4 linked regions of the Saccharomyces cerevisiae S288C genome follow. The gene in region 1 interacts genetically with each later gene. Each region holds a gene or a part of one and is shown on either strand. Other genes may lie near its edges.

The links.
Region 2: mutations in RBP95 (region 1) and DIA1 together harm fitness more than expected from each alone (negative genetic interaction), as found in Saccharomyces cerevisiae (2 studies listed by BioGRID).
Region 3: mutations in RBP95 (region 1) and AZF1 together harm fitness more than expected from each alone (negative genetic interaction), as found in Saccharomyces cerevisiae (2 studies listed by BioGRID).
Region 4: mutations in RBP95 (region 1) and MNN5 together harm fitness more than expected from each alone (negative genetic interaction), as found in Saccharomyces cerevisiae (2 studies listed by BioGRID).

What each region holds. Positions count from the first base shown.
Region 1 is NC_001135.5:139,943-147,290, reverse strand, and holds RBP95 (RNA-binding ribosome assembly factor RBP95), read right to left. Parts: upstream 3,658-7,348; coding exon 2,785-3,657; downstream 1-2,784. Other genes in the region: CWH43 (Cwh43p), read left to right, coding at 1-2,518; CTO1 (Cto1p), read left to right, coding at 5,121-6,074; POL4 (DNA-directed DNA polymerase IV), read left to right, coding at 6,358-7,348.
Region 2 is NC_001145.3:900,736-907,959, reverse strand, and holds DIA1 (Dia1p), read right to left. Parts: upstream 3,136-7,224; coding exon 2,125-3,135; downstream 1-2,124. Other genes in the region: YMR317W (uncharacterized protein), read right to left, coding at 1-596; YMR316C-A (uncharacterized protein), read left to right, coding at 1,987-2,298; YMR315W-A (uncharacterized protein), read right to left, coding at 3,567-3,674; YMR315W (uncharacterized protein), read right to left, coding at 4,111-5,160; PRE5 (proteasome core particle subunit alpha 6), read right to left, coding at 5,547-6,251; TGL3 (bifunctional triglyceride lipase/lysophosphatidylethanolamine acyltransferase), read left to right, coding at 6,653-7,224. UniProt on the Saccharomyces cerevisiae protein: Involved in regulation of invasive growth.
Region 3 is NC_001147.6:530,672-537,319, reverse strand, and holds AZF1 (Azf1p), read right to left. Parts: upstream 3,246-6,648; coding exon 501-3,245; downstream 1-500. Other genes in the region: COPI-interacting protein CEX1, read right to left, coding at 3,527-5,812; YOR111W (nucleotide diphosphatase), read right to left, coding at 6,193-6,648. UniProt on the Saccharomyces cerevisiae protein: Transcription factor involved in the diauxic shift. In the presence of glucose, activates carbon and energy metabolism genes, and in te presence of glycerol-lactate, activates genes needed for cell wall maintenance.
Region 4 is NC_001142.9:74,158-82,415, reverse strand, and holds MNN5 (alpha-1,2-mannosyltransferase MNN5), read right to left. Parts: upstream 2,262-8,258; coding exon 501-2,261; downstream 1-500. Other genes in the region: ATG36 (Atg36p), read left to right, coding at 1-321; tyrosine protein kinase SWE1, read left to right, coding at 3,154-5,613; 60S ribosomal protein eL39 RPL39, read right to left, coding at 5,942-6,091, 6,478-6,483; 40S ribosomal protein uS8 RPS22A, read left to right, coding at 7,114-7,506; 40S ribosomal protein uS11 RPS14B, read right to left, coding at 7,805-8,211. UniProt on the Saccharomyces cerevisiae protein: Responsible for addition of first and second mannose residues to the outer chain of core N-linked polysaccharides and to O-linked mannotriose. Implicated in late Golgi modifications.

The sequences.
Region 1 (7,348 bases):
CCACGATATTCATGATATATTTATGATCACATACATTGTTTTAACGTTACCATGGGATATAATGATTACCCGCTATTCTAGTCCTTTAACTTCGAAGAACAAAGGGTTGACTGCTACAATTTTTTTTGGAACATTGTTCCCGATGATTTACTGGTACATTCAGCACTCCGTCCAACAGAGAGCTGGGGCATATTCTATATATGCTTATTTCGAATGGTCTCTGATTCTTTTAGATATTGCATTTGATGCATTTGCTTACGCTGATTTCAAAAAGATAGATATTGTTCTCGCTTTTAATGAGAAACCCGGTAATACCAGTTTTTTCCAAATTAGAGACTCTAGTCCCATAAATTATGGAGAAGAAAAAAGTTCAGAATTGCAGAAAAGTGGTGAAAAGAAGGTTGAAAAGGAAAAACCCGTTGCTAGAAGCGCAACTGGTTCATATTTCAGGTTTGACTCTTTTTTTTACTTACTAACAAATATTTTTAACGGTTTTCTTTTCTGGTCGAACGTTACGTCCCTGTTATGTAGTATTTGGCATTTCCCGCTATGGTATATGGGAATCTCAGGTTATGAAGCTGCAATATTGGGTTATTTGGGACCCATTTTCTTATATCTGCCGTTCGTTTCTGAAGCCTTCACGCAATATGGTGTACTTTTAGGAGGTATTATTGCCATTGGTGCCTATATTGTTCAGATGCCAGAATTAAGGTTGATTTCTGTAGCTGTGGGAACTTCCATTACCGTTGCAACGTTTGTACAAAATCTAAGATATATCACAAATGCGGAGACTAGTTTCTCTTTTGCTCTAACTTGGCTGTTAGGTCTTGTTGCATCTGTGATCTTGAAAATGGGGTTCTATACCAACAATCCAACTTGGGTCATTTTAGATGAACGTAATGGTGGGTATAATAAGACAGCTCTCGTGCTTACTGTTTTATTCGGCATGCTGTCGCCTTATGTTAATTCAATTAATTTCGAAGGGAAAAGGAATGCTCAAGCAAAATCTGCTTCGTTGATTGGCAAATTATTTTTGGCTGTTGGTTTTGGCTCGTTGTTATTCGGAATTCATCAGTTATTGACGGATTCTTCTACTACTATTTATTGGGCATGGGAAGGTTACAATGAATCACACGGTCCCTTGCCATGGCCTTGGGGCGCCTTAACTTGTACGGTCATGTTATTTGCTTCTTTGAGTTCTGTGAAGTTTATGGGCAAGCCATTAGTTCCATGTTTGTTGCTTCTCATATCCACTGCTGTACTTTCAGCTAGAAGCATTACACAATGGCCTAAATATATTTTCGGTGGTTTATTGTACGCTATCGCTATGCTTTGGTTAGTTCCTTCGTATTTTTCTGCATTAGGCCAAGTTCAAAACATATGGGTTTATGTCCTATCATTCTCCGTTTATATTATCTTTGTCCTTGCCCATGTTTGGGTCGTTGCATACGCATTTGTTCCAATGGGCTGGGTACTGAGGGAGAAGATTGAGACGGTTCTTGCCTTTTCTTCCACATTTATCATTATTGGTGCTTTAACATGCAAAAACCTTAACATTCAACTGGTGACTATGGGCAAAAAATTCTTCATTTATGTTTTCTTCTTTGCCGTGGCCCTGCTATCACTAACAGCTAGGTTCGTGTATGATATTAGACCTACAGGAATTCCTCAGCCTTATCATCCAGATTCTCAGTTGATTACAGCTGGTATTTGGACTATCCACTTTGGTCTCGATAATGATATGTGGGCATCTGAAGACAGAATGATCAACCTTATTAAAGATATGGAACTAGATGTGGTAGGTCTACTAGAAACAGATACACAAAGAATTACCATGGGGAACAGGGATCTAACTAGCAAACTAGCTCATGATTTGAATATGTATGCAGATTTCGGACCAGGTCCAAATAAACATACCTGGGGCTGTGTTCTTCTTTCTAAATTCCCTATCGTAAATTCTACGCATCATTTATTGCCCTCTCCAGTTGGGGAACTTGCGCCAGCCATTCATGCCACACTTCAAACGTACAATGACACTCTCGTTGACGTCTTTGTATTCCATAGTGGACAAGAAGAGGATGAAGAGGATAGAAGACTGCAAAGTAACTACATGGCTAAGCTCATGGGCAATACGACTCGCCCAGCTATTTTATTAAGTTACTTAGTTGTTGATCCAGGTGAAGGCAACTACAATACGTACGTTAGTGAAACATCCGGAATGCACGACATTGATCCTTCTGACGATGATAGATGGTGTGAGTATATCTTGTATAGGGGCTTGAGAAGAACAGGATATGCTAGAGTTGCAAGAGGAACGATAACCGATACGGAGCTACAAGTTGGTAAGTTCCAAGTTTTGAGTGAGCAAGCGTTAGTAGAGCACTCGGATTCTATGTATGAATACGGTCATATGAGTGAACCGGAATATGAGGACATGAAATTTCCAGATAAGTTTTTAGGCGAAGGTGAGAGGGGTCACTTCTACCATGTTTTTGATGAGCCACGTTATTACTTATAAGAGGCCGTAAGGTGGTTTTATAAATCAGTGTAATCACATTGTGTGTACTGAAAATCTTGATAACTTAAGGTAAGTTATGTATCCACCTGATTTTTTTGACCTCGAATTTTAAAAATTTATGTGATTTCTTTATGTATGTTACTTAGACGATCTTGTTATAGTTTTGTAAGAAATTATACTTCCTGAAACGATTTATCCCGCTACTTTTTGAGCGTATTTCACAGTAAAATATATACTACAACTGAACAACGTTGTTGAACTCTATGTTAAACATCAACGAAGAAATTCTTAAGTTCTATCTGCTCCGAGTCATCATTCTTCCAAATTTCTAGTAATTTCAGACTTCTTTGAACAAGCTCTTTATTCGGCATTTGTACTTCCTCTTGCTCGTCTTGTACCTCTTTTTGCTTCCCTTGTTCGGCATTACCGTCTTTTTCACCTTCTTCTTTTTCTTCACCATTAATTGGTTCGCTAGCCTTATCCTCTGCAATTAACGCTTTTATTTTTGTTTCTTGATCTTCCACATAGTCGTTCCATTGCTTCAGTTTTCCTTTGCATTTTGATATTAGTTCTTCTTTTGATTTACCTTGTAAGTCCCTGAAATATAAAAGCAAAAGATCATTATATACTGAGGGGATTTCGTCCAAGTTGAAAAAATGCTTAATAAGCCAATTTTGCTTTTGCTTGGAAAATTTCCAAACTTCAACAACACCAGACTCTGATGGCTCGTCTTTGATCAGGGAGTCGCCGTAATTTTCTTTTACACTTTCCAATTCTAGGATTCCGGTGGGAAACTTGCTCTCAGACTTTGTCCTGAAAAATTCTATCAGGTAACGTAATTGATCTTTAAGAATTTTATTTTTTTTCGAATTCTTTTCATCCTTTGACAATTTTTCCTTCTTCTTCGTCCCTGGTTTCGACACACGCTTCCCTTTTTTGGTAGAGGATTTGCTCTCACCATTAATGATTCTTTTTTTCTCTTTCTTTGTCAAATTACCAGTGGATAAATGCGTAGTGATATTTAGTGGATCATCATCTATTAGATTGGATTGGCCTTTTTCTTTACTTTCGTCACCACTGCTTATAGTCTGTCTCTTCAAAGCAATTCTTTTCCAGGCAGGAACGTGATTTTCGGACATTTAATTGTGAAGTGAATGTTTCTTCTGCTTGTAATTTGTCGATAAAGAAAGCACTTATGACAGTACTTTGATATTTGAATTTAGCTCATCTCTTTTCGTTCCTTTTTCTCGCTCGAAAATTTTCAATAATTTGCAGTAAAAAGGCGATGCCAGTAAAAAACTACCTGCAAAGGGAGCGTTAGACATATCTTTTATTGGCGACAAATATTTTTAGCGATATATATCCGTAAAGATCTGGCGATATTCTTTATCACTCGATGATAATAAATTCTTTTACACTTTGCTATTTTCCATGAGAACGGTTGGTATTCCTGTTCCCAATAACAAAAGCGTTTGCATATTTTTATGGTGAAGGTACTATCAACTGTAAAGTATGTACAATAGATTTATTAAAGGGAAACACTTTTCGTAGTAAGAAAAGCAGGTTTATAATTCAATTGTTTTAAAGCTGAATAATGCCGTGGTGTTAAACTACGACCGAGCTATAGCAACAGCATCGGCCACACACTCTCTCTTATTCTTATGTTAATAGTCGACCTTTCAAGGATGTTCTTGTTGGAATAGAAATCCACTATCGTCTATCAACTAATAGTTATATTATCAATATATTATCATATACGGTGTTAAGATGATGACATAAGTTATGAGAAGCTGTCATCGAAGTTAGAGGAAGCTGAAGTGCAAGGATTGATAATGTAATAGGATAATGAAACATATAAAATAGAAGAAGGGATAATCGTAATATTAGTATGTAGAAATATGGATTCCATTTTGAGGATTCCTCTATCCTTGAAGAGAACTCCTAGTATATTCCGTATACATAATATTGTTGCTTTTCTCGAATCATGTATCAAGATTACTAGCGCAAGTGGTTTAGTGGTAAAATCCAACGTTGCCATCGTTGGGCCCCCGGTTCGATTCCGGGCTTGCGCATCTTTTTTACTTTATATACTATTTTTTTTTTTTTTCTTTTTCCCAAATTTTTTCATGAAAAATTTGGCGGAACGGTACATAAGAATAGAAGAGATTCGTTATGAAAATTTTCTACTCTCTTTCACATTTTTTTTTTCATAAGAATTAAAAAAATAAGCTTAATGCCCTCTTTGTACGATGGTGTCACTCTAAAATTATTTACGTAATTTAATTGGATGTGATATCAAGCACTAGTTTTGTTTGGAGGAGCAGAGATTGAAAGCCTAGCTTTTACACCGGTTTGAGTCGGTTCCTTCGTTTTCTTAGTTGGAATTGATATAGAAGTGTGTGGACAATCGATTTGCAAAACTTTTTATTTTATGTATTACTACTGAGCTTGTTTATCTGTATACTTTTTTCTTATTATTATGTAGTTAGAGGTTAGTTCTTATCGTTTTCTTTAAAAGCGACCTTTCTTCGCACAAAGCAATGTTGACAATCGAGCCAATGCATTTAACAATTGCAGTAACCAGAAGCGAACAGTGGAGGATATGAAAACCATTATTATTTCAGATTTTGATGAAACAATCACAAGAGTTGACACAATCTGCACCATTGCTAAATTACCGTATCTACTGAACCCGCGGTTGAAACCTGAGTGGGGTCATTTTACCAAGACATATATGGACGGATACCATAAATACAAATACAATGGAACGAGATCACTGCCGTTGTTATCTTCAGGCGTACCTACGATAATTTCGCAGTCTAACTTCAATAAGTTGTTTGCGGACGAATTAAAATATCAAAATCATAACAGGGTTGTTGAGTTAAATAGTGTAAATGAAATTACAAAACAACAGATTTTTAAGTCGATTTCTTTGGATCAAATGAAAACGTTCGCCAGAGATCAGAATCACGAAGATTGTTTACTAAGAGATGGTTTCAAAACGTTTTGCTCTTCAGTTGTCAAAAATTTTGAAAGTGATTTTTACGTTTTATCTATAAATTGGTCAAAAGAGTTTATTCATGAAGTCATTGGTGACAGAAGACTTAAAAATAGTCATATTTTTTGTAACGATCTAAAAAAAGTTAGTGACAAGTGTTCTCAAAGCTACAATGGTGAATTTGATTGTCGGTTATTGACAGGCTCTGATAAGGTCAAGATACTGGGTGAAATATTAGATAAGATCGACTCAGGTTGCAATAAAGAAGGAAATTCTTGCAGCTATTGGTATATAGGGGATAGTGAGACTGACTTGTTGTCCATATTACATCCATCTACTAATGGTGTACTGCTAATAAACCCGCAAGAAAATCCTTCCAAATTCATAAAAATTACCGAAAAGATTATTGGTATCCCAAAGGATAAAATCTCGAGTTTTGAAGCTGATAATGGTCCAGCGTGGTTACAGTTTTGTGAAAAGGAAGGCGGTAAAGGTGCCTACCTTGTGAAATCCTGGGACTCTTTAAAAGATTTGATCATGCAGGTAACAAAAATGTAGAAACGGATGAAATCCTGTATATTCAAATTTATATAACCAGGACGTTGCAGTGCTAATAATAATGGAATACCGCTAATTTTCCTCCTGTTTTTTCTTTTTTAAGTAAAGATAAAATAGTATTTCACTTGCACTATTCTTCTATCTCCGTAATCGGTCTCGGTCTAAAATTACTTTGAGATGTTCAAATACATGGGGCTAATAATTTTAAGGGCTTGCAAAGAACTTATATGTCACAGTGATAATAAGTAAAGGATAAACATGCGACCTGTTAGACAAATCGCACATGTCTCTAAAGGGTAAATTTTTCGCCTTTTTACCTAATCCTAACACATCTTCCAATAAGTTCTTTAAGAGTATATTGGAGAAAAAGGGCGCCACAATTGTGTCAAGTATTCAAAATTGTCTTCAATCTAGCCGTAAGGAAGTGGTCATTTTGATTGAGGACTCCTTTGTTGATTCTGATATGCATTTGACTCAGAAAGATATTTTCCAAAGGGAAGCAGGCTTAAATGATGTCGATGAATTTCTTGGTAAGATTGAACAGTCAGGCATTCAATGTGTGAAAACCAGTTGCATCACAAAGTGGGTCCAGAATGATAAATTTGCGTTTCAAAAAGATGATTTGATTAAATTTCAACCATCCATTATCGTTATATCAGATAACGCTGATGACGGACAAAGTTCTACTGATAAAGAGAGTGAGATTTCAACTGACGTAGAAAGTGAAAGGAATGATGACAGCAACAATAAAGATATGATACAAGCTTCAAAACCTCTTAAGCGACTCTTACAGGGGGATAAAGGAAGAGCTTCCCTTGTTACTGACAAAACGAAGTACAAAAACAATGAATTGATTATCGGAGCGTTGAAAAGGTTAACAAAAAAATATGAGATCGAAGGTGAGAAATTTCGTGCAAGAAGTTATAGACTGGCTAAACAGTCGATGGAAAATTGCGATTTCAATGTTCGTTCCGGTGAAGAAGCACATACTAAATTAAGGAATATCGGGCCTAGTATTGCCAAAAAAATACAAGTTATATTAGATACGGGAGTTTTACCAGGTTTAAATGATTCAGTGGGATTAGAAGACAAGTTGAAATACTTCAAAAATTGTTACGGCATTGGGTCGGAAATTGCTAAACGCTGGAATCTTCTAAATTTTGAAAGCTTTTGTGTTGCAGCTAAGAAGGACCCAGAGGAGTTTGTATCAGATTGGACAATTTTATTTGGTTGGTCATATTACGACGATTGGTTATGCAAGATGTCTCGGAATG
Region 2 (7,224 bases), on another chromosome or scaffold:
ATCTTTGGAGAAGATGAAACGTCAGTAAGCGTGGTAAATGTGGAGGATGTGACTGCAGTTGTATCAGAAGATGAAGCAGTAGTTTCAAGGACAGAGGACTTTCCCAATGGCTCCGAAGAGGAACCACCTCCATTTGATGAACTGGTTTGCGGGGAAGATGTTTGAATAGCACTACTACTTATGGAGTCAGTCTCTGTAGTGGAGCTGGACAGTTGTGCATTTGTGGAGGAAAGCGCACTGTATGAGTTTGAGGGGCCAGAGGTTGATGATTCGACATCGTTGACTGATGTACTAGAAATATCGGATGATGTGTAAGAAAGAGAAGAAAAAATGGAAACCAATGACTCCGATGATAGAATTGAGGCAATTGTATCAGAGGAGAGCGACGAGCTAGAAGTAAACTCGGGTACAACAGAAGAAACTAATGTGCTAGAACTACTGACAATAATTTCTGGGCTAGTTGTAACTTTAGTGCTTGTCGTGCTTGTCGTGCTAGTGGTAGTAGGCGTAGTTGTACTGGTTGTGCTACTAGTAGTAGTCGTGCTACTATGCGATGTGGTAGTGGCTGTGGTCGATTTTGAACCAGATGAACCCATTTTGATACGGCGCTACCCTTTCTTGTGGATACCTTTTCTATGACAGAATCATTGACAAATCTGAGGGAACAAAATTACCACAGGTGTGAGTGAGACTTTATATAAAATTAATATTTCATTTTTAGCTTTGTTCCACTTGAGAGGAACATGGGCAAAGATAGAGACTAAGAAAACATGTTTTCAGAACTTTACTGTTGACTGCTGAACAGTCTTAGCAAGATGCTTATTTTTACGTGAGTTCTAAGTCGCCGTGGACTGACACCTTCGCTAAATTCACAGGCAATGATCGCAAACGAGCTTCATGAAAAAAAGTTTATTTTGGATCAGATCTGCGCATGGTCCAGAAAATTCGCCTTAACGAAAGGTACACAATTTTGCATTAAATGTCAAAAAAAATAGAATATGCGATACAATTATACCTGAGATGAATTTAGTAAAGTAGGTGCAAAAGATGGTATAATACTTGAGCTACATCTGGGAAACTAAAGCACATTTTACGTTCAAAGCGAATAGTAAATTAGAGAGAACAGTTGCGCGTGGAAGGCACGGGCACCGCTAAATCTAAAGAAATTACATACTATTTCATTCTTGCTGTCATTTTTTCCTCATTAATCACCACTTTTAAGCAGGATATAAGAATAAAAAACTCGATTTGAATAAAAACTATGCTTTCCTTGGTACATACGTCCTTTTGAGTACATAAGTAATGTCAACTGTGTAGGAAAGAGGTGACGTCCTAGGCTCGGCTGTGTGATATTACTTTTTAGAACCTTTTTGATAGAGGCTAAATGGTAAGGAAAGTTAATTTTATTCGAATTTTGGGCCACCTCTCTTAGAAAGGATTACTGCTAACTTCATAGTGTCAGATCACTCGTGTTTGTTCTGAATAATGAGGCAGGCGGTATACGAAAGAAGATATCCTGCTTATTTGGCTCCTATTGTTCAATTAATTAATCGATTGGCCAACGACTTTCCTATCGTATAGAAGAAACTGTTTGAAAAAAGATGGCTTATCCAGGAAGGCGCCTGAACAAGTTCTTGCTTCCCACAGTAAAGAAAAATCAAAATGGCCGCCATAGCGGTGCAGGAAGGTCTTGCCTATCGAGGATATTGTTTTTACTCCAAAAGGAAAGAGGAAAGTTAACAAAATCAACTTTTCAAACGGAGAGTATAACACCCGGAAGTTAAAAACTGTGAGGAAGATAAAAAGAAATCTTCACGAAGTTTTTTCCATTTTGGTGATCTAATGAAGTCAGCTATCACTTTTTTGCGCTACGGGCTTTATGTGACGCAATAGCCCGTGCCACTTTAAACTTTTTTGTGCCTTGGCACCTTTGGCAGTATACGAAGAAGATCAATTAAACAAGAACGACGAGATCTCGGACAAGATATGACAGGGTTTAAAGTTTCTTCTTTTTTTTATATTCTGGCATTGTCCCGCTTTTTCAACGCAGGAAGGGAACGAGCTTGTGATAAGTTAAAAATTACAGTTACACATCTATACTGGTTTATTATACGCAAACTTTTGTTACATGAGGTTCATGTTCATGTTAGTCGTGTTTGCAACGTTTCTTTTATTTTGTCTCCTTGCCTCTTTCGCAATTTTTTTACGTTGTCTCTTCATGTACTCTATGTAATGTATGAGCAGGCTCTGACACCCGAGTTCTTCCGTCAATGGTGGGATATTATTCAATCCAAATGATCCTTGATCTGTGGAATACTCGCCAAGAATTAAGTGGCCCTCTTGAGCGACCCACCTAAAAAGAGATGTTTCAAATTCTCTAGTATAATGAGCTGCCACGAACCTCTGAACTTTTTGATCCTTTTGGTCGATGGACATCTTATTTTTAGCGGCTCTAATGACATCTTCATCCAAACGATTCACTTCATAATCTGCTAACAGAATTAATTTATAATGATCGTTGGTAACTACGGGCGAATAAGTGACATGCCACCTGAGATTTAAATTATTCACTTTAGTGTCCAAATCCCTGTGTCCTTCTCGGTGAGCCATTGCTAGTAAGTTGGGCTCCGTAGACGTAGTCCCTACGAAGCTGTAAGTTACGTTTGCTTGGCTGACATTTTTATATATGTCGTAAAGAGGCACTTTATACAATATTAATCCGTTGTTTGAGCAAACGATTTTTGCCACAGTATAAGGCGGAGGTTCGTCTGCCGTTCTTAAAATAAATTTGAAAATTTTATAATATGGGACATTGCCGACCACAGTATTGCTATGACCTCTTTTACCAAACGGTAGAGTGCAATTGATAATTTGGAATAATGGAATACCAATTGCATCTGGACTCAGCTCATTCGAATACTTTTTAGTGTTTTCAAAATTTTCAAGCGATTGCTGAGACGGAAACATGAAAAACCCATCCTCGCCGTTTATCTCGGCTATGGGCATTCTTCTTTCCCTATTAAAATGAAAGCACTCTGGGACACTTTTGCTATCGGACATTTCAATCTTCAATCTCTGCTCATCTTTAAGCCCATCTGCTGCTTTCTTAAGAAGGTATCTACTTATTGAACCCATAATCAGATTTTTCTTGAAAAACTTTTAATGGAAGCTTAGCACCTGCTTCGGTCTTCTTTATCTTGGCGAACTTTGCCAAATCTGTAGTTGTTTCAAATACTGTCATGTTGGCAGTCTTCTTTTTATATGCGTTCACGCCGATGGCCAAGCCTACAACATTTTCTCAAAAAGGGACCATTGTCCCTTGCTGCGCCAAAAAAAAGAAATAGGCGCATACGTTCCGTCATCTATCGCTCACAAAAAGTGGAACCGGTAGGATTTTATCACTGACACATACCGTTGTACTAAGAGAGCAATTAAGTCGACAACGCAATTGATATGCGCTCTTCGTTATCGAACCCTAGCGGTGTATTTTTCGGACAAACTTACTGTTCATTATGGCCGAATGCTTACCTAAAACGACACTTCTGGTCGTTTTCAACTCTCATGCTCTAAGCAATTAGGCTTTTGGGGCGAAGCGGACAAGCTCTTAAGGCCGTGAATAAAGAAAGGGAGATGAAAGGACGCCGTAGCAGCTGCAATAGCTTTCTTTCGGTCATCAAAAATCCCAGTGAATTCTTGGGGGACACTTGTGGGGTTGCATTACTCGAAATGCTTCGGACGAGTACCTGATTCGTTAAACATATATATATCTCATGGTGAATTGGAAACGGTTGTAGATCTTATATAGGAAAAGTCATTCATAACTAGTTCCATGCCGACTAAGTATTTCGTCCAGGCTCGGCGTTCTTGTTGAACGAATTTTCCCATAATCATCCAGATTTCCAAGAACCTCGCCTTCGTAACATTTTGCAACAACAAGTGGATGGAGAATTTTGGCTATTTTTAGTTCAAGAAAACTTAGAAATTTTTCAACGGTTTTTTATCTCGTTAGTATTATCATTCCAAAAGTATACTTATGTGGGTACATAGTTATAAATATATGAGGGAATCTATCTATTAAGGTTAAAAAAGCGTTACATCGTAAAACGGTAATCATGGCTGCTCAATTTTAACGTAGTCACCATTCTTGGCAGAAGATTTTAAAAACGCGTCCACACAAGCCAAATGGTGAAATGCAGTTCTGGGTGTGCCTAGGTATAAGGATTTGTCCTTCTTGCTGACAGCTTCGTGAAAATTCAAAAATTCAGCGTTGACGCCGAAACTTTCATCATTATCGACTTTAAAAATTTGTTCGTCACCGTTATCTTCAGCTGAACCCCCTAATTTGACTTTTACAACGGGGTCTTTTTTGTCTGATAAGTCAACGGTAACGGTACCATTCTTACCATAGACTTTCAAGAAAACCGACTTTTCGGTAGCACCAAAGGCAGACCCATAAGTAAAACTTCCGATAACCTCTTTATTTTTCAACTGGACAGTAGCAAAGACAATATCATCTGCACCGGAACGTTCACGCACCTGTCTCGTTAATGCAGAAACAGATCCAAATTCACCGAGTAGGGAAATAACGAGAGCTAATTGGTGGACACCACCATCAGATAGAAATCCGCCAATGTGCTCTGGTTTTTGTCTCCAGGTTGTGGTCAAATATTTATTTTGAGTAACAAATGGACCGGTAGAATTGTGGGTGAATGCTACTACAGGACCAATTTTCTCGATCTGCTCCTTTGCGATTTTAATACATGGTAAATATAACCAATTTTCAGCCACACCAACGGGCAATGGGGTGGATTCTGCTATCTTGACAATCTCCTTTGCTTGGTCTAAGTTGGCCGCAATTGGTTTTTCCAAAATAACTGGCTTACCTGCTTTAACTGCCTTCTCGACAATATCAGCATTAAATTGAGCAGGTAGCAAAGCGTCAATGTAGTCGACATGAGGGTCATTCAAAATTTCATCTAGATTGTCGTAAACCTTATTTTCAGGTATGTCAGCAACCTTTGCAAAATCCAAAGCTTTTGCCTTATGTCTGTTGAAGGCGGCAATGACTTTGAATTTGTCAGGAAATTCCTGGTAGGATGGGAGATGTCTATCTCTGGCAAAAATACCTGTACCAACTATACCGACGTTCAATGGGGACATTTTTGGCTATTACTTTACTTTTTGGAACCAAGAAGTGATTATGGGTCTATTCGATGTACAGAAACAAATAGGTTTGAGCGAGTTCGAAAGTTTATCCAGAATAAGTAGTTCTTTTTATAGACGAACACCTATGTATTGTGATACATAATCATGCTGAATTTTCAACAGGGGATAACTCCGTTTATTCCCCGGCGGAGGGCGGAATTAAGCGGGGTTATTAGTTGATTTGGAAGCCACGTCTTTTTTAATTTTGAATGAGAAGTGAGACTACGTACTAAGTTAATCTATTATTATCTTTATATGTAAAAAAACCCCGACCGTGGTGAAAGGCTTCTTTGGTCTTGCTTTGACAATTGCTTAGTGGAAACGATACTTTGTGTCCAGACCTAGATGTATTTAGCAACAGCTTCTCCATCGTAAATTGTAAAAGGCGTATCCTTACCCACGATGGCGATTGAAAGATTGTCTACAGTCAAGGATTCGTCCCTTAGAGACTGGCTGATAGCCTCGACGCCAGCTTTGATTAGTTCATCCGGGTTCCCGTCAATTTTTATAAACGTGTCTAAAGTTCTCTCTAGATAAGTCTTTGCCCCTTGGCTTCTTGCGCCAATAGCTGTACCATATAGTTCTGTGACATTTCCGGAAGGTTGGAATTCTAAAAGATGAGCACCGCTCTTGTCATACCCGATGATCAACAAACCAACACCGTAGGGTCTGCCCCCATAGGATTGTGTATTTTTCTGTGCTTTATCGCAAAGCAAATGACCTGCTCTCTCGACGGCAAGCTTTCTGTTAAAAACTAAGCTGGAGTAATTACACTGTTGTCTCAAATAATTACTTAAAACTCTAGCATCTGGAGCCAACCCGGCTAACGAGAGCCCCATGTGCTCGTCACATTTGATGATTTTTTTCTGGTATGATGACAATTCGTCTGCATTTCTTTTCAACGCTACTAAAACAGCATGAGTGTTCGAACGTAACCCCACAGTGACGCTCCCTTGTTTAATAGCTTCCAAGGCGTATTCCACTTGGAACAGACGGCCTGTAGGAGAAAAAGTGACTGTGTCCCCGTCGTAATTGTTCCTGAACATGTTTTGTAAATATATGAAGGCTTAGTTCAATGTATTCTTACCCACTTCTCTTGAACTTCAATTGATCACCACGTCTACCTAAATGTAGTGGCGTCTTGGTTCTTTTCCATACTTTGACGATACTTTTGAATTTTTAATTTTGCCACTCTATAATAGGGTATGTTCTTTATAGGTCATTTTTACTTTTTTAGTAGGGCATTTTAATAAATACTAGGTTTTTAGTAATTTCGGAGATACTTATCCTAGGTCTGAAAATTCAACCCTAACCCTTTTTTTCTTATGTTTTTTTTTTTCTGGGTAGCAGCTAATAGAAATTAGTACTGATTACATAGAGAAGTACTATGACACAATAGTAAGGGAATCATCTATTCATATATCACATCTTTGAGTTGCCGTTAAGCATGAAGGAAACGGCGCAGGAATACAAGGTGTCTGCTGTAATACCGACCCTTTTGAAAAACTGGATACTGCGTGTAGTGTATGCCACATTGGACCATATACCTCCTTTTGTGTGGGAAATTCTACATGTCATCACCGATATTTATTTCTTCTGGGTTCAAAAGCTGATTAACTATGTGCGGCCACACTCAAGAGTCATTTATTATAACGCTATTAAGAAGTTAGATGAGTGTGATACGTATCAAATGTGGTGTCAGCAAGCGTCCGTAGTGGATGAAATAACAGGCGCAAATTTATGGCGGCGGAATTTCTTTTCGAGGAGGTACGACTTCAATTCTGTCATTGAACAATATAGCATATTGGAAAATATGTTAAGGGAGGAGAAGTATGATGTAGTTAAGGAGAAGTTTTCGACTACAGGCCCTTGTATGTTGAGGAACTTTGCGGGTATTGGAGATAAAAAGTTGTTCACAAAATCTTTGATGGGTACAAAGCTACTTATTGAACAATATTTGACCCGAATTCTAGAAGGCTTGGATATATTAAATAATCAAACTTTAACTCCAACATCCTT
Region 3 (6,648 bases), on another chromosome or scaffold:
GTCATTGCGAAACACTTCACATGTTTCATTAAAGCACGAAACGCGAAAAAAAAAAAAAAATAAAAAAAACAAAAATAAAAACAAAAACAAAATGTGTTGAAAGTTAATATACCAATTGATAAATTGAAGCAAGGCCTGGGATGTTAATTGGAAGAAATTTTATCGTAAAAGAATATACAAGTTAAAAAATATAAACCCAAGGTACGTATACTTGGAATATTACACATTCATTATATACATATATATATATATATATATATATAATTAAAAAAACCGTCGATAGAAATTGAACCTTTAAAATAATAGAAAAAAAGAATACAAGATAAATAAAACCTCAAAAAAGTGAAAAAGAGCTAGAAAACCATGCAGTTCTTCAAGAAAAAGAAAAAAAGAAAGGAAAAGTGACACTTGTGGGTTAAGTTTGACGAATACCACTATGAAATCAGATACTACGGTGTAGAAACTCGAAAAAAAAAAAAAGGTAGTGCCTCTAAGGCCTGCTAGCTTTTGTAATTAATGTTCTTAAATCTCACTTGTTCTTGTTGAGATCTTTCATTATCATTAGATTGATCCAAGTTGAAACTGAAGTCATTATTGGTGGTTGGCGCCATTAATACACCCGGAGCTGCACCTACCGAAAAGTTGCTGTTATTATTGTTGGTATTGCTGGAACTACTACTTCCTAATCTAGAATGAGGAAGTGTGGTGTAATTGTAGTTTATGATTGGTTGGTTGGACGGATTCGAACTGTTCACAGAATTGTTAAAATTATTTTGGATAAATTGTGATTGCAACGTACCCATGTCTTTTTGCGTCGGCGAAATCATACTATGTGAGCCCGGATTGCTGTTACTACTGCTGTCAATGTTACCTTCAGGGTTGCCGTTATTTTCAGAATCATTAGCAATAGCATTATTTGCATTTGTATTTGGATTCAAAATTGTGCTCGCAGGATGGTTTTCTGGTGAGGAAATTGTTGATTTTTTGGTTCCTACACCTTTTCCTCTACCTTTAATTCCCCTGTTTGAATTTTTATAAATGGACGCAAAGTACTCCAAAAGTTGCCGCTCTTCAAGTGGAATATTCTCAGATGGATTCATCTCAGCTAATTTTGCCGTTAAGGCATTTAATGTTTCCTTATGAAATCTATTTTGATGGGCCTTCATATTTCCTAGTTGAGTGAAGGTCTTGTTGCAGTTTTCAAGCTTGCAAACAAATGGTTTCAATTTTTGGTGAGTAACCAAGTGAGCAGCTAAGTTCCCTTTCCTAGAAAATTTTTTATCACAAATATCACATGAATACGGTTTTTCACCTGTGTGTAGTCGTTCATGAGTTCTTAAGTTCCCACCCTGAGTAAAACGTTTGCCACAATAATCACAAACGAATGGTTTGTACCCTATATGAGAACGAACGTGAACCTCCAGATGAGTCGCTTGCGAAAAAAGCCGATGACAATAGGGACATTCATGTTTTTTAACTGCTCGTGTATTTTGTGTGCCTTTTGGTTTCTCCACACCACCTACTAGTTCGCTTTTAGGTGGTAAAATGTCCATCGTTTGGTTAAACAGTAAGTCTCCATCTTGAGTGGTATTTACTTTCTCCGTGAAACCTTTCTTTCTTGCTTGAATAATCAACATTAGTTGGTCGACCTTTGTTGCACCTATCAGGTTAGTAGCATCATCACTTACTGAACTTATGTCAGGTATAGGAGGTTCTTTACCAGAAAAGTTTGCCATTGCTGCTCCTTCAGCAGAAGTAGAATTGTCTTTACTCATCGGGGGATCAGTACGGGGCATCTCATTCTTGACGTACACAGTAGAATCATCCTTTTTCCTTTTCTTGATAATATTAGGTTGCATACCAGACTCGTCTATATGTTTGTTCAATCCCTCACTGCCTTCAATTACGTCGTTTTTATCCAATGGTCTTGATATAGCACTAGAGTAATTATCCTCATCATTCAAATGTTTTCGAAGTCTTTGTTCTATTTCTTTTAGATCTTTCCTACTATTGCTTGTGGTATCGGTAGAAGCAAGGCTATGGTCCTCTTGGTTTGGGATATTAGTACTGGTGGCGGAATTAATACTATTGTCGTTATTATCATTATTGTTGTCATTGTTGTTTTCATTGTTGTTGTTGTTGTTGTTGTTGTTATTGTTATTGCTACTGTCATTGCCATCATCATTGTCAACTTCATTACTTTTTCCTTTCATGTTATTGGTAACATTATCCGCGACAGGATCACCATTAGCTTTGTTGTTAACGGATAGTGAGTTTAATCTTGATTCAGGTATAAACGCATTTTGGCTGCTATGGTCCAAAGTACCTCTAACAAAAGAATTCCGCCTTTTGAATTGAAAATCGAAATCTTCAGGATTAAACTTCAAAGAATTATTTCTTGAACTCAAAAAGTACGGGTTCTGATTAGAATTACTGTTGTTTGTACCAGTATTAAAAAATGATTCATAATCTGCATTTGTGTTCATATTCCCACTATTATTGGTGCCATTGGACTGGCTTTTAGTAGTTGCTGCAGGTATTAACAGTGGAGGTCTCATAGAGTTTGATTCTCTTCTACTGCTAGGCTGGAACTGCGGTTGCTGTGACTGCTGCATACTGAAAAATTCAAAATCAGGCCCATCATTAGGTCCAAGATAAACAGAGTTTCTTTTTGAAGGTGGCTGCGAAGTATTATCATTTCTTGGTAAAAATTGATATTGAGAAGAACTTCCCGTTAATCCCGTCGAAAATGAAGGGGTCTTGAAGGGAGGCTGCTGGTGCGACTGCTGTTGTTGTTGTTGCTGCTGTTGCCGATGCTGATTTTGAAGCTGCTGTTGTTGTGGGAAGAGGTTGTTTACAATGGAAAAGCCGCGTCCGATTTGCGACAGGTCTGGCGGTTGATGTGTACTTGAAGTGGATAATCGTGGAAGATTGGAATAGGCGCCGCCAGAACTAGGTCCTCCTGTACTTGTTACTGGTACGTTATCAGATATGTTCAAGAATGAGTTGATAGAGGCGTCCGTGGAATATCGTGGCTGGTTGAAATTTGTATAATATGAAATCGACTCATTCCTTTGTTGTTGATGTTGCGGTTGAGAAGAAGCCGGTTGACTTTGATTAAGAATAGGAGTAGGGCCTTGCCCATGCTCCTGGTTTTGCTCCCCAGCTTCGCCTGATGATTGATTTTGGCTTTCATTTTGTCCCGCCTGCGTAGGGCCCATGAACTGTGCAGTTGGAGGAGGCATGGCTGGTAATTTTTCAATATCTGAATCTTTTGAAGTATATCGCTTGTGTAGCTGTTTTTGTCCCAATTAATTTCTCTGTGGGACCATCTATAGTACTACAAGGTTCCCTTTTCTGATGACTCTTCTTGCTTATGCTTCATTTCTACTGGAATTAAAGGGACCCTTCTTTTCCTCCACTTCTCAAAGAAGCGAAATCGCGGGGCACGGGCGTAATGTTTCTAAATAACGATTAACACTGAATATATCCTTCTACAATACGTAGGGCTATATAAGTCTTGGGATCACCAATTCGTATCCCAGGAGTCTGAATCCCCATCATCATCCCAGCCGTCAACATTTCCTTTCTTGGTTACCGAGCCGCGGATACTACTTATAGGCTTACTTCTTGCAGTTTTATTGGACAGTGACGATTTGGTGGTAACAGTAGAGTTACTAGCAATGTTTCTTGGTGCTAGGATCGTTGTTTTCTTCTTCTTGATAGAAAGCCTTGAGCTAGGAGCGATGGATTTTGCCAACGTTGAATTTTGTGGCCTTGTGTGTTTTTGAGGCACCTTTGATGGGCCGCTTTCATCTTGAATCCAGCCATCATCATTCAACTCATCATTCCAACTTTTATTAATTTTAATAGGTTTTCCGAATAATTTTGGGGTGCTTGCGGTTGTTACAGGGTTTGTTGTTTCATCGAAGGATTCTGTGGTACCATTTGTAATAAAGCCATCGGTATCGCTGAGGTCGTCCCATCCACTTCCATCCTGGGCGGAATCAATTTCGCTCTCGGTAATGTTACTTGGTGTTGTTGCTGAGGGAGAATTTAAACGTAAATTATTTAAAAATTGTGCGGCTAACAAATTGTCTTCTTTATTCATATCCTCTTCATCACAACCGTAATTCTCAAAATCAATATCTTTCACATCTTCCGAATCTGCAGTACTATCGTTTGTTTGAATAAGTTGGGCTTCTTTTTCCAATTTTTCCAGATATTCTTCGAACAGGATTTTGGCTCTGCCTCTTACTATGGGACTTTTATCTAATAAACCAGGGGCAATGACTGTTAAAATTTTGTTGGCGATTGTGTTCACATCAAACAGCTCAATCGACTTCTCAAGCCCATAAAGAGCAGCCAATCTTGGTTTTACTTGAGGATCTTTCAAAGATTTTGTGAACGCCGTAGCTAAAATATTCGAGCGATTACCAACTGACGTTGATAATATGGTTGAGATTTTACTTATTATGATGACTGTCCATGTTCGGATTTCAACGTCAGAATCAACCTGTGTTTTTGCGAGAAACCTCAGTAGCTCATTATTCAGTTGTCTCTCTGTTAAACATGACACAATGCATGGAATTGTCTTCAGTGTTTGTAATCTAAGAGTGGCATCAGAGTCGGTCAGACCTTGGATAAAATGTGGATATATCCTACTGGAGATCTCTGATTTGCTCAATGGACCTATTAATTTGGGTAGGTATATTAGTAAAAGAAATCTTACTTGCCTATCTGGCAGTTTAAAACTTTGGGTGATAAGGTCGTTGAAACCAACTGGAAAGGTGTTCGTTTCAGAAGTTAGGTCTAAAACAATCGCTAAGAATGGTACTAGTTTATGTGATGCGTTGAAGTTCATGCCTATAGGGCTGGCAGCACTACTGATGCTTTGTGTCATTAATAATTTTATAATTTCACAAAGCTCTGGAATAATAAAATTTTCTATCATTCCAGGCGTTAAATTACGGAAAATCTCTCTTGACTCTAAATACAAATTTTCCAAGTTTGACATCACAACCAATTTTCCCTGTGGGTCCTTTATATGCAACTCCCTCAATTCTTGATAAAAGTTTATCAAAGGATTAGAACGCCAAGTTTCTGTATTTTCTAGCCTTTTTCTGAAGTTTTCGATTGTTATCTTTCCATCTGAAATCATATTTACATTGACAATCCAATCTTTGGGCAGACAAGAAGGAGCCATAAGGCTCTTTATCAACAATCCTAACCCCATTGAATCAATTGTATTCGGATCTTCACAGGGCAACTGTGAGCCAATTATGTTGTAATATGACCTCGCTCTACTGGCAAATTCAAACGCACTTAATCCTTCTTTGCTTGAACAAAGTTCTAGCCCAAATAGTACCCACTCTCCCTTAATATTGATAAAAACAGAATCTTTAGAAAGCGTACCAAGGACAAAGTTTTTTAAAAATCCTAAAGTTGCCAATAATTGTGATATTCCTAATTCAACACCAAATTTGTTTTGAGATAAAGAGCCTAGATTATCCCAAGGAAATGGAACTACTCGTTCGGTAACAATAAATGTGGATTGGGGGTCGGAATCAAATGTCTCCAGCACCGTACAAAGTCCTGGAATCTTCAAAATTTTGCTCTTGTGTACAGCATTTAAAATTAAAGATTCATTTTCTGGAGATCTTTTTGCCTTAAAAACTGTTACTGGCAAGGAATCTGCCTTCCTTGTACCATCGAAACATTGCCAAAGGGCGGTTTCAGTGATTGCAGTTTCCTCTATGGTGTATGGGAACTGGAAATTCGAAATAGATTTGAAAATGCTGGAAAAATTCATCACTTACAGATACTTGTTCACCAATAAAAGCAACGATAGTAACAGTGTCAAACTCTCGACTAAATAACTTGACGATATTATTGTTTTTAAGATACTTATATTTAATATAATCATAATATAAACAGACAAAGAGAAAGGGCCTTTTTGAAGGTGAAAAAAATAGAAGATGTGCGCGAAAGCGTGAAATTCAAAATGCGTATTGCTTTAAACTTTCTTTACCATCAATCGAAAAACTGTCTCGTAGAATGTTAATAGCCGTGTTATTTAGCGCATGTATCTATTCACCAATGTGGCCTTTAATATCCGTTCCACTCATTCTTCTGGTGTTGCAAAGATTAACATAGTTAACTGAGCAACACCAAAGAAAACCTAAACGAAGGTTATATGGAATTAGCCTCAGCATAGAGTCCTTTGAACGTTTTATTGAGCGGTAAACCAACTACGTTATAGTAATCACCTTCAATTTTTTCAATTAGAATAGCACCTTGCCCTTGTATTTTAAATCCACCGCCAACCTCCAGCCCATCTCCGCTTTCTACATATTCTTCCAATATTCTCAAAGGTATTTTGTTATCAAAGTATACCTTGGTTTCATCTCGGAATGGTACCAATTCAAAGTTTTCTCTGCCGTACCATTTAATTAAAGTCACAGCGGTGACAACGTTAACTGGTTCATCATCTTCATAGCAAAACTTCATTAAAAACTTCTTTTGGACCTCTTTTGTTTTAGGCTTCTCGTAGATTCTCCCACTCTTATCTATAATAATTGTGTCTGCACATATGATAAGCTTAGGTTTATCAATTTCATTTGGGTTTTCATCTTCGTAATCTGTCAA
Region 4 (8,258 bases), on another chromosome or scaffold:
AGAGACTTGTATCCAATTCTAAGAACATGCTACCGCGAGAAAACTCGCCGGCAATTATTGACATACCATCATGAAAGAATATTTGACGATATACCATCTTTTTTCCCCCAGCGTGACTTTATTTTCAATTACTACTCGATGCCTCTTGAATTCGACAGGTTGTCAGACGTAGATATAGATTCGTCATCGCGGTCACGATTTACAGATGAGAGCACTGGAGAAACATTAAACCGTTCACCAAGCGCAGCGTCTTCGTCGTTGGAAAACACATCTTGGTTTGGCTGGACTTTACTTTCTAGGTTTTTGGACAGAGAATGGTAGAAGAAAGTTAGATACCCTCATTCTAAAACGTTGTCCGAACACCATCAGTTAGTTTTTTCTTGGTTTCATTTTTTCATTTTTTTCTAAGATGTATATATATCCGTGCACATATATGCTACATTATATTATACAAGGTCGGATGGCGAGTTATTATTAAATTATTATAGTTAATCACTTCATTAGTTTTTCTCCCCCATAGCTTCTTTGTGTGTGCTCTCCAGATAATTAACATGATTGGTCAAATACTCACACATTGCATCCCATTCTGGGGTATTAACTTTATCGGTAAAATACTTGAATTTAATAACTTGGCTTTTCGGAGTGGTACAGAAGGACCCCCTCATATCATTGAATAAAAACAATTCAAAATCCATTCCATAGCGATGCGGCTTCCTGAAGCCCCGTACTTGTTCGCCATTTGGACCGATAAATCTGTTTTCATGATAAAGAGTCCATGGATCTGCCTTGTAGAAACTGGCATGAATGAACATGATATCCAAATCAGAACCGTCATCATTAACCATCAAAGTTTTCAAGAAACCATTGTCCAAAGTATAATCTGGATCCAGTTTGGAAAATTCCTCAATGTTGGCTTTAACTTTCTGCTGCGCCTTTTGGTATTGCTTGTAATCTTGTTCAAAATCATGCTGGAGCAAGGCGAGACCCTTGTAATCATCTTTTTGATAGAAGAAACCATCAAATTCAAAGTTAGTCCTCACTTGATAGTATGGCATATTCAAGGCATGGGCAGCAGCGACGAAAGTGTCTTTGTCACCTTCACCGGCAGTGCCTTGAGAAATCATCTTATAATACCAGGTAGGCCCATAAACATTATAGTATAGCGCCAGTAATAGAGTGTTGAAATGGCGAATCTTATCAATCACCATCTGGCCTGATTCAGAGCTCAAGTCTGGCATCGTGCCGTCCAGATCATGTAAGGGAACATGTTTCAGGAAATGCTCCTGTCTCTCCTTTGGAGTGTAATCGTTTGAGTTACTAACAAATGGATCATAACGTGACACGGGGGAAATATCGTCACTAACAAAACGGACTCTTTTGCCGATGTTAATGCTAGATCCTATAATGTTGTAAAAGGCGGGAGGGGTGACACGTCTCCAAAAATCGGGCCACAATATCAGGCCAGTATCGTTGAAGGATGTAGTGTTAAAAGCAAGGTCAAGGTTTTTCACCGCATAGTTATCTGCGTCCAAGAAGATAATACGCTTGAAACTGGAAATTATCAACCCAAAGACTTTCAACTGGAAGTGCGTGAGTTTTAAATCGCTTAATGGCTTTGAAGGAACGATATCTGAGAAATAAATGCACTTACCATTGAATTTCGGCAACCAGTTCTTACAAAAATCATCCTCGCCTTCGTCCTGAGGCGGAATGATGACTTCAATAGGCAATGTAGTACCCGTGTCCCTCAACTTTTTGATCATCGTATACGCGAGCACAGAATACTTTCCACCTCCAATGGTGACAATGCCCTCAGAACCTGAGAAAAGTGCCTCTCTTTGTGGGATGGAAAAATTCAGTTTCCCTGATAAGGTGTCTGTAAACTTACTGTGCACTTCTCGTAGGCTTTCTTGTACTGTTTTATTCAAATTATAGCATTTACTCAAGCTCTCGTAACTTAAGTCACTATCGTGTCCAGAGTCGTGTGCAGCAACGTTATTTGCAAAGCTACACCCTTCCGCCCCATGCAACTTACTCAAGTCCGGAGACGAATCTGCCGGCTTGTTTTCCACGATGGCTTGTACCAGTGTTGTGTAAAAATTGTTTTTAAGGTTCGACCTTGTTAGAACCGGCAATCTAAGCTTTTTACCGTATAACCAACTAGAAGACACATCATTATGCACAGAACAAAAAAATAAAATTAGCACTACTGCGCTCACGATGACCTGCAGGATTTTTCTCTTCTTTAACCTAATCAGCATTGTAACCTGAACTATTAGTATATCCTCTTGTTGTGCTAGGAACCAGTCGTAAAATAAAAATTTCCAATAACCGTGAAAATGCTTTTTTCATATCTGCGTATATATAAAACACTTTAAAGCCGTGTTGATCCTTTAGTTGTTACACTTTTTTTTCCCCGCCGATGAGAAAGTGAAAAAAAAAATCCGCAAGAACGGGGAAAAAGATAAAAGAAGGCACTTATCTCTCTGAACTCTGCACCGAAACATGCATCTGTCGTCTATTCCGACTTGGCAACCAAAAGAAGCCCAAGAGCTAGTTGCACTTAAATCAGTAGAATCGTGAGATTGTTTATTATCTTACTTCTGTTAGAGTGCTTCGCTTTCCATGCATCAAACTATGGATTTGTGCTGATCTTGCAACCATCGTCCTCTAAGGAAAGAAATGTGGCACCTTTAAATAGGTTCCACCTCACAGATGCCAACATGTGGGAGATAGGGGGCTATTCGCAATTTATTAACGTCTCTAGTACTGGTAAGCCTTTCTAACATTCTTGTGGTCACGTGATGTGTATGTTTCTTTTTTTTATTCCTCCGGGTGATAACGACGCGAAAAATATTTTTTCATTTTTCTTTTAACCATCACAATTTGCGACGCGACGCGAAAAAAATGCAGAGAAGTAAAAGAATGCTGGATAAGAAATCAACAACACAGTTGAACATTGGCGTGCCCCTGTGTATTAAGTAAAGGTTGTCCAAGAGGCTCTTTTTTGTATGTATGCGTGTGTTAACTATCCTGCACATCATCTTGCGCAGTTAGTCCAATAAAAAAAGGATTACTACTGAACAGGTCTTACTATTTTTGATTGCGTAGTGCTGGGGAAAAGTAAACACACACAGGCGCACACGAGAACAGATGAGTTCTTTGGACGAGGATGAAGAGGACTTCGAAATGCTGGACACGGAGAACCTCCAGTTTATGGGGAAGAAGATGTTTGGCAAACAGGCCGGCGAAGACGAGAGTGATGATTTTGCTATAGGGGGTAGCACCCCGACCAATAAACTGAAATTTTATCCATATTCGAACAACAAATTGACAAGAAGTACGGGGACCTTGAACCTGTCATTAAGTAATACAGCTTTGTCAGAGGCTAACTCCAAATTTCTTGGGAAAATTGAAGAAGAGGAAGAAGAGGAGGAAGAAGGCAAGGATGAGGAAAGCGTGGATTCTCGTATTAAAAGGTGGTCTCCGTTCCATGAAAATGAAAGTGTTACTACTCCTATTACAAAAAGATCTGCGGAAAAAACGAACAGTCCTATTTCTCTCAAACAATGGAACCAGCGATGGTTTCCGAAAAATGATGCTCGCACTGAAAATACATCCTCATCCTCTTCATATAGCGTCGCTAAACCTAACCAATCAGCCTTTACGTCTTCGGGCCTCGTATCTAAAATGTCTATGGACACTTCGTTATACCCTGCGAAATTGAGGATACCAGAAACACCAGTGAAAAAATCACCCTTAGTGGAGGGAAGAGACCATAAGCATGTCCACCTTTCGAGTTCGAAAAATGCATCGTCTTCTCTAAGTGTTTCCCCTTTAAATTTTGTTGAAGACAATAATTTACAAGAAGACCTTTTATTTTCAGATTCTCCGTCTTCGAAAGCTTTACCTTCCATCCATGTACCAACCATAGACTCATCCCCACTGAGCGAGGCAAAATATCATGCACATGATCGTCACAATAACCAGACAAACATCCTGTCTCCCACTAATAGCTTGGTTACCAACAGCTCTCCACAAACATTGCATTCTAACAAGTTCAAAAAAATCAAAAGAGCAAGGAATTCGGTTATTTTGAAAAATAGAGAGCTAACAAACAGTTTACAACAATTCAAAGATGATTTATACGGCACGGACGAGAATTTCCCACCTCCAATCATAATATCAAGTCATCATTCAACTAGAAAGAACCCTCAACCTTATCAATTTCGTGGACGCTATGACAATGACACTGACGAAGAGATCTCCACTCCAACAAGACGAAAATCTATTATTGGGGCAACATCTCAAACACATAGAGAAAGCAGACCATTGTCACTCTCCTCTGCCATCGTGACAAACACAACAAGTGCAGAGACGCATTCCATATCTTCCACCGATTCTTCGCCGTTAAATTCCAAAAGGCGTCTAATCTCTTCAAATAAGTTATCAGCAAATCCAGATTCCCATCTTTTCGAAAAATTTACGAATGTGCATTCCATTGGTAAAGGCCAGTTTTCCACGGTCTACCAGGTTACGTTTGCCCAAACAAACAAAAAGTATGCAATCAAAGCCATTAAACCAAACAAATATAATTCCTTGAAACGCATATTACTGGAAATTAAAATACTAAACGAGGTAACAAACCAAATTACAATGGATCAAGAAGGGAAGGAATACATCATCGATTACATCAGTTCCTGGAAGTTTCAAAATTCATACTATATTATGACAGAATTGTGCGAAAATGGTAATTTGGATGGATTTTTACAAGAGCAAGTTATCGCAAAGAAAAAAAGGTTGGAAGATTGGAGAATTTGGAAAATCATCGTGGAATTAAGCCTGGCTTTACGATTCATCCATGATTCTTGTCACATTGTGCATCTGGACTTGAAACCCGCAAACGTCATGATCACATTTGAAGGTAACCTAAAACTAGGTGACTTTGGAATGGCTACTCATTTACCGTTGGAGGATAAAAGTTTTGAAAATGAAGGTGACAGAGAATATATTGCACCAGAAATCATTTCTGATTGTACGTACGATTACAAGGCAGATATTTTTTCCCTGGGTCTGATGATTGTTGAAATTGCAGCGAACGTTGTGTTACCTGACAATGGCAACGCATGGCATAAGTTGAGATCGGGTGATTTATCGGATGCAGGAAGATTAAGTTCCACAGATATTCATTCTGAATCATTATTTTCAGACATTACGAAAGTAGATACAAATGATTTATTTGATTTTGAAAGAGACAATATCAGTGGTAATAGTAACAACGCTGGCACCTCCACTGTTCATAACAATAGTAATATCAACAACCCTAATATGAATAATGGCAACGATAATAATAATGTCAATACTGCCGCTACCAAGAATCGTCTTATTTTGCATAAAAGTTCTAAAATTCCCGCATGGGTACCGAAATTTCTTATTGATGGTGAATCACTTGAGAGAATAGTACGATGGATGATAGAGCCCAATTATGAGAGAAGGCCCACGGCAAATCAAATCTTACAAACTGAGGAATGCCTGTATGTAGAAATGACACGCAATGCAGGTGCTATTATCCAGGAAGACGACTTTGGACCTAAGCCAAAATTTTTTATATGATAAATGGAACAAAAAACCTTGTTTTATTTACATACTTTTTTCCCACACGTGCTTATGGGCCGCATTGTATAAATAATCCAATAACGAAAAAGAGTGTAATTGCAGTCCGGTAGTAATACCATGTAAAACCTTAGATGAGTTTATTTTAAGTACAGCCGCTTCAAGCATTTTTATTTTTATTTTACAGATGTAGCAGATAACAACCGTTAAATTATATTATATATATATATATATATATATCAAATACGACGTATTACATATATATTGAGAATAAGGGAAGGATGGAAGACAAATGACAAAAAGTTTGAAGCATAAATATGTTCTTCGCTTAGATGTTCATCTTGGTTCTTCTCCAGTTTCTTCTCTTAGCGTTGTAACGGATAGTGTTGTTGGTTCTCAATCTGATCCATTGTGGCAATGGTCTGTTTTGCTTCTTAGCCTTAGCCATTTTTTGCTTGATTCTGAAAGACTTTTGAGCCTAATTAAAAGGGAAACATATCGTGCACATACGAAGTGTACAATTGTAAAAAATGTTAGTAACAATGTTCAAACTCATCAATGTGATGCATTCACGGATCCAAGGCAATACCACCTGACATAAACCACGCTGGACCACCAAAAGTTCTCAGAATAAGCAGTTTATGACCATATTTTAATCTGCGTAGTGGCGACTTTAGATTTCTGTTTCGGATAAGAAAAATTTTAGTATGGTTAACACTCCTAATCCTTTCCCTATATTTTACACATTGCTTCTATTTCAAATCCAAATTGTAGGTGGTAAGGTCATTTAGATGGATGTGGTTTATAATTTGCTATTGATCAGTTCAGCATCTAACTGGGATTTATAATATCTTTCTAACATACAGCCATGTTGATCTATCTGTGTTTATTTGCTTGTCTTTTTCGAATTTTCAGTATAATATGAATGTACCAAAAATTGTAGAAAGTATATTAAGTAGAAGTTTTAAAGTATCTATCAAGGCGAAGAATAATTCTCGGTTCTCGACAGCCCAAAAGCCGAATTGCGTTAGTTAGCCCACGCGCGAGCGTAAACGCAAGGACCATTGAGCTTGGAACAGAAGGAGTCGCTTCGGCGTCCCCGCCAAGGCGTACTGTTTGCCTCGGCCTGCCGCGTGGTGGTGGTAGTTTGAGCCGGAGCCTAAAACGCCCATAAGTTTTTTGAAAATCAAGCTAAAAAATGAAAAAAAAAAAAAGTTAAATTGGTACTGTGCGCCCATACATCACATACTTAAAAGTGTGTAATTCCTCTATACATCCACACCTCACTATTTGAAAAACTCAAATATTGAGGACGCGCGATTACCAGCGGCATGTTTACTCGCTGGAAGATGTGAAATAATTCTTGAATATGGGTTTGCAGTTAGTCAATTTCAATCTAAATAATCTTAATCGACTATTCAATTCTTAAATTGTAAGGTTTTTTAATGGCCTTTCAGTTCTAGTATTTTTTATAAAACAAGACCAACATACATATCCAAGATGACCAGATCTTCCGTTTTAGCTGATGCTTTGAATGCCATTAACAACGCTGAAAAGACCGGTAAGCGTCAAGTTTTAATCAGACCATCCTCCAAGGTCATTATCAAGTTTTTGCAAGTTATGCAAAAGCACGGTTACATTGGTGAATTTGAATACATCGATGACCACAGATCTGGTAAGATTGTTGTTCAATTGAACGGTAGATTGAACAAGTGTGGTGTTATTTCCCCAAGATTCAACGTTAAGATTGGTGACATTGAAAAATGGACTGCCAACTTGTTGCCAGCCAGACAATTCGGTTACGTCATCTTGACCACCTCTGCTGGTATCATGGACCATGAAGAAGCCAGAAGAAAGCACGTTTCTGGTAAGATTTTGGGTTTCGTTTACTAAGCTACTTGTTACAACAACCTTTTCGGTAGCTTTATATACTATAATAAACACAAGATAGCCTCATAACTTTACTCATTTCTTATTATACATTTTTTTAGTTTTCCTGTTAAATACTAATATATTTGTACTTTAAAACTGTTCAAAAGATTAGACAGAAATGAATTTATCTGCCGCATTTCTGCATGCACGAAGTCGAATATGCAAATGTTTATATTGGCTTTATTAATTAAACAAACTATATTTATGTGAGAAGGTAAAGCCGTATTTCCATGCGTTAATAGAGTAAAAAAAAAAGAAATCATAATCTTCTACCTCTTCTACCACCCTTCTTTCTGGTGGAGTCTGATGGGACTGGAGTAACGTCTTCGATACGGCCAATCCTCAAACCAGATCTGGCCAAAGCTCTCAAAGCGGCTTGACCACCTGGTCCTGGGGTCTTGGTTCTGGTACCACCAGTAGCTCTGATCTTAACGTGAACGGCAGTGATACCGACTTCCTTACACTTAGCGGCAACATCTTGGGCAGCCAACATAGCAGCGTATGGAGATGATTCGTCTCTGTCGGCCTTGACTTTCATACCACCAGTAACTCTGGCGATAGTTTCCTTACCAGATAAATCGGTAACATGTACAAAGGTATCGTTAAAGGAGGCGTAGATTCTGGCAACACCAAAGACTTGAGAGTTATCGCGAGCTTGAACAAGGTCTATACATGATAAGAGGTATAGTTGTTAGTAAACAGAACTTCTGCTT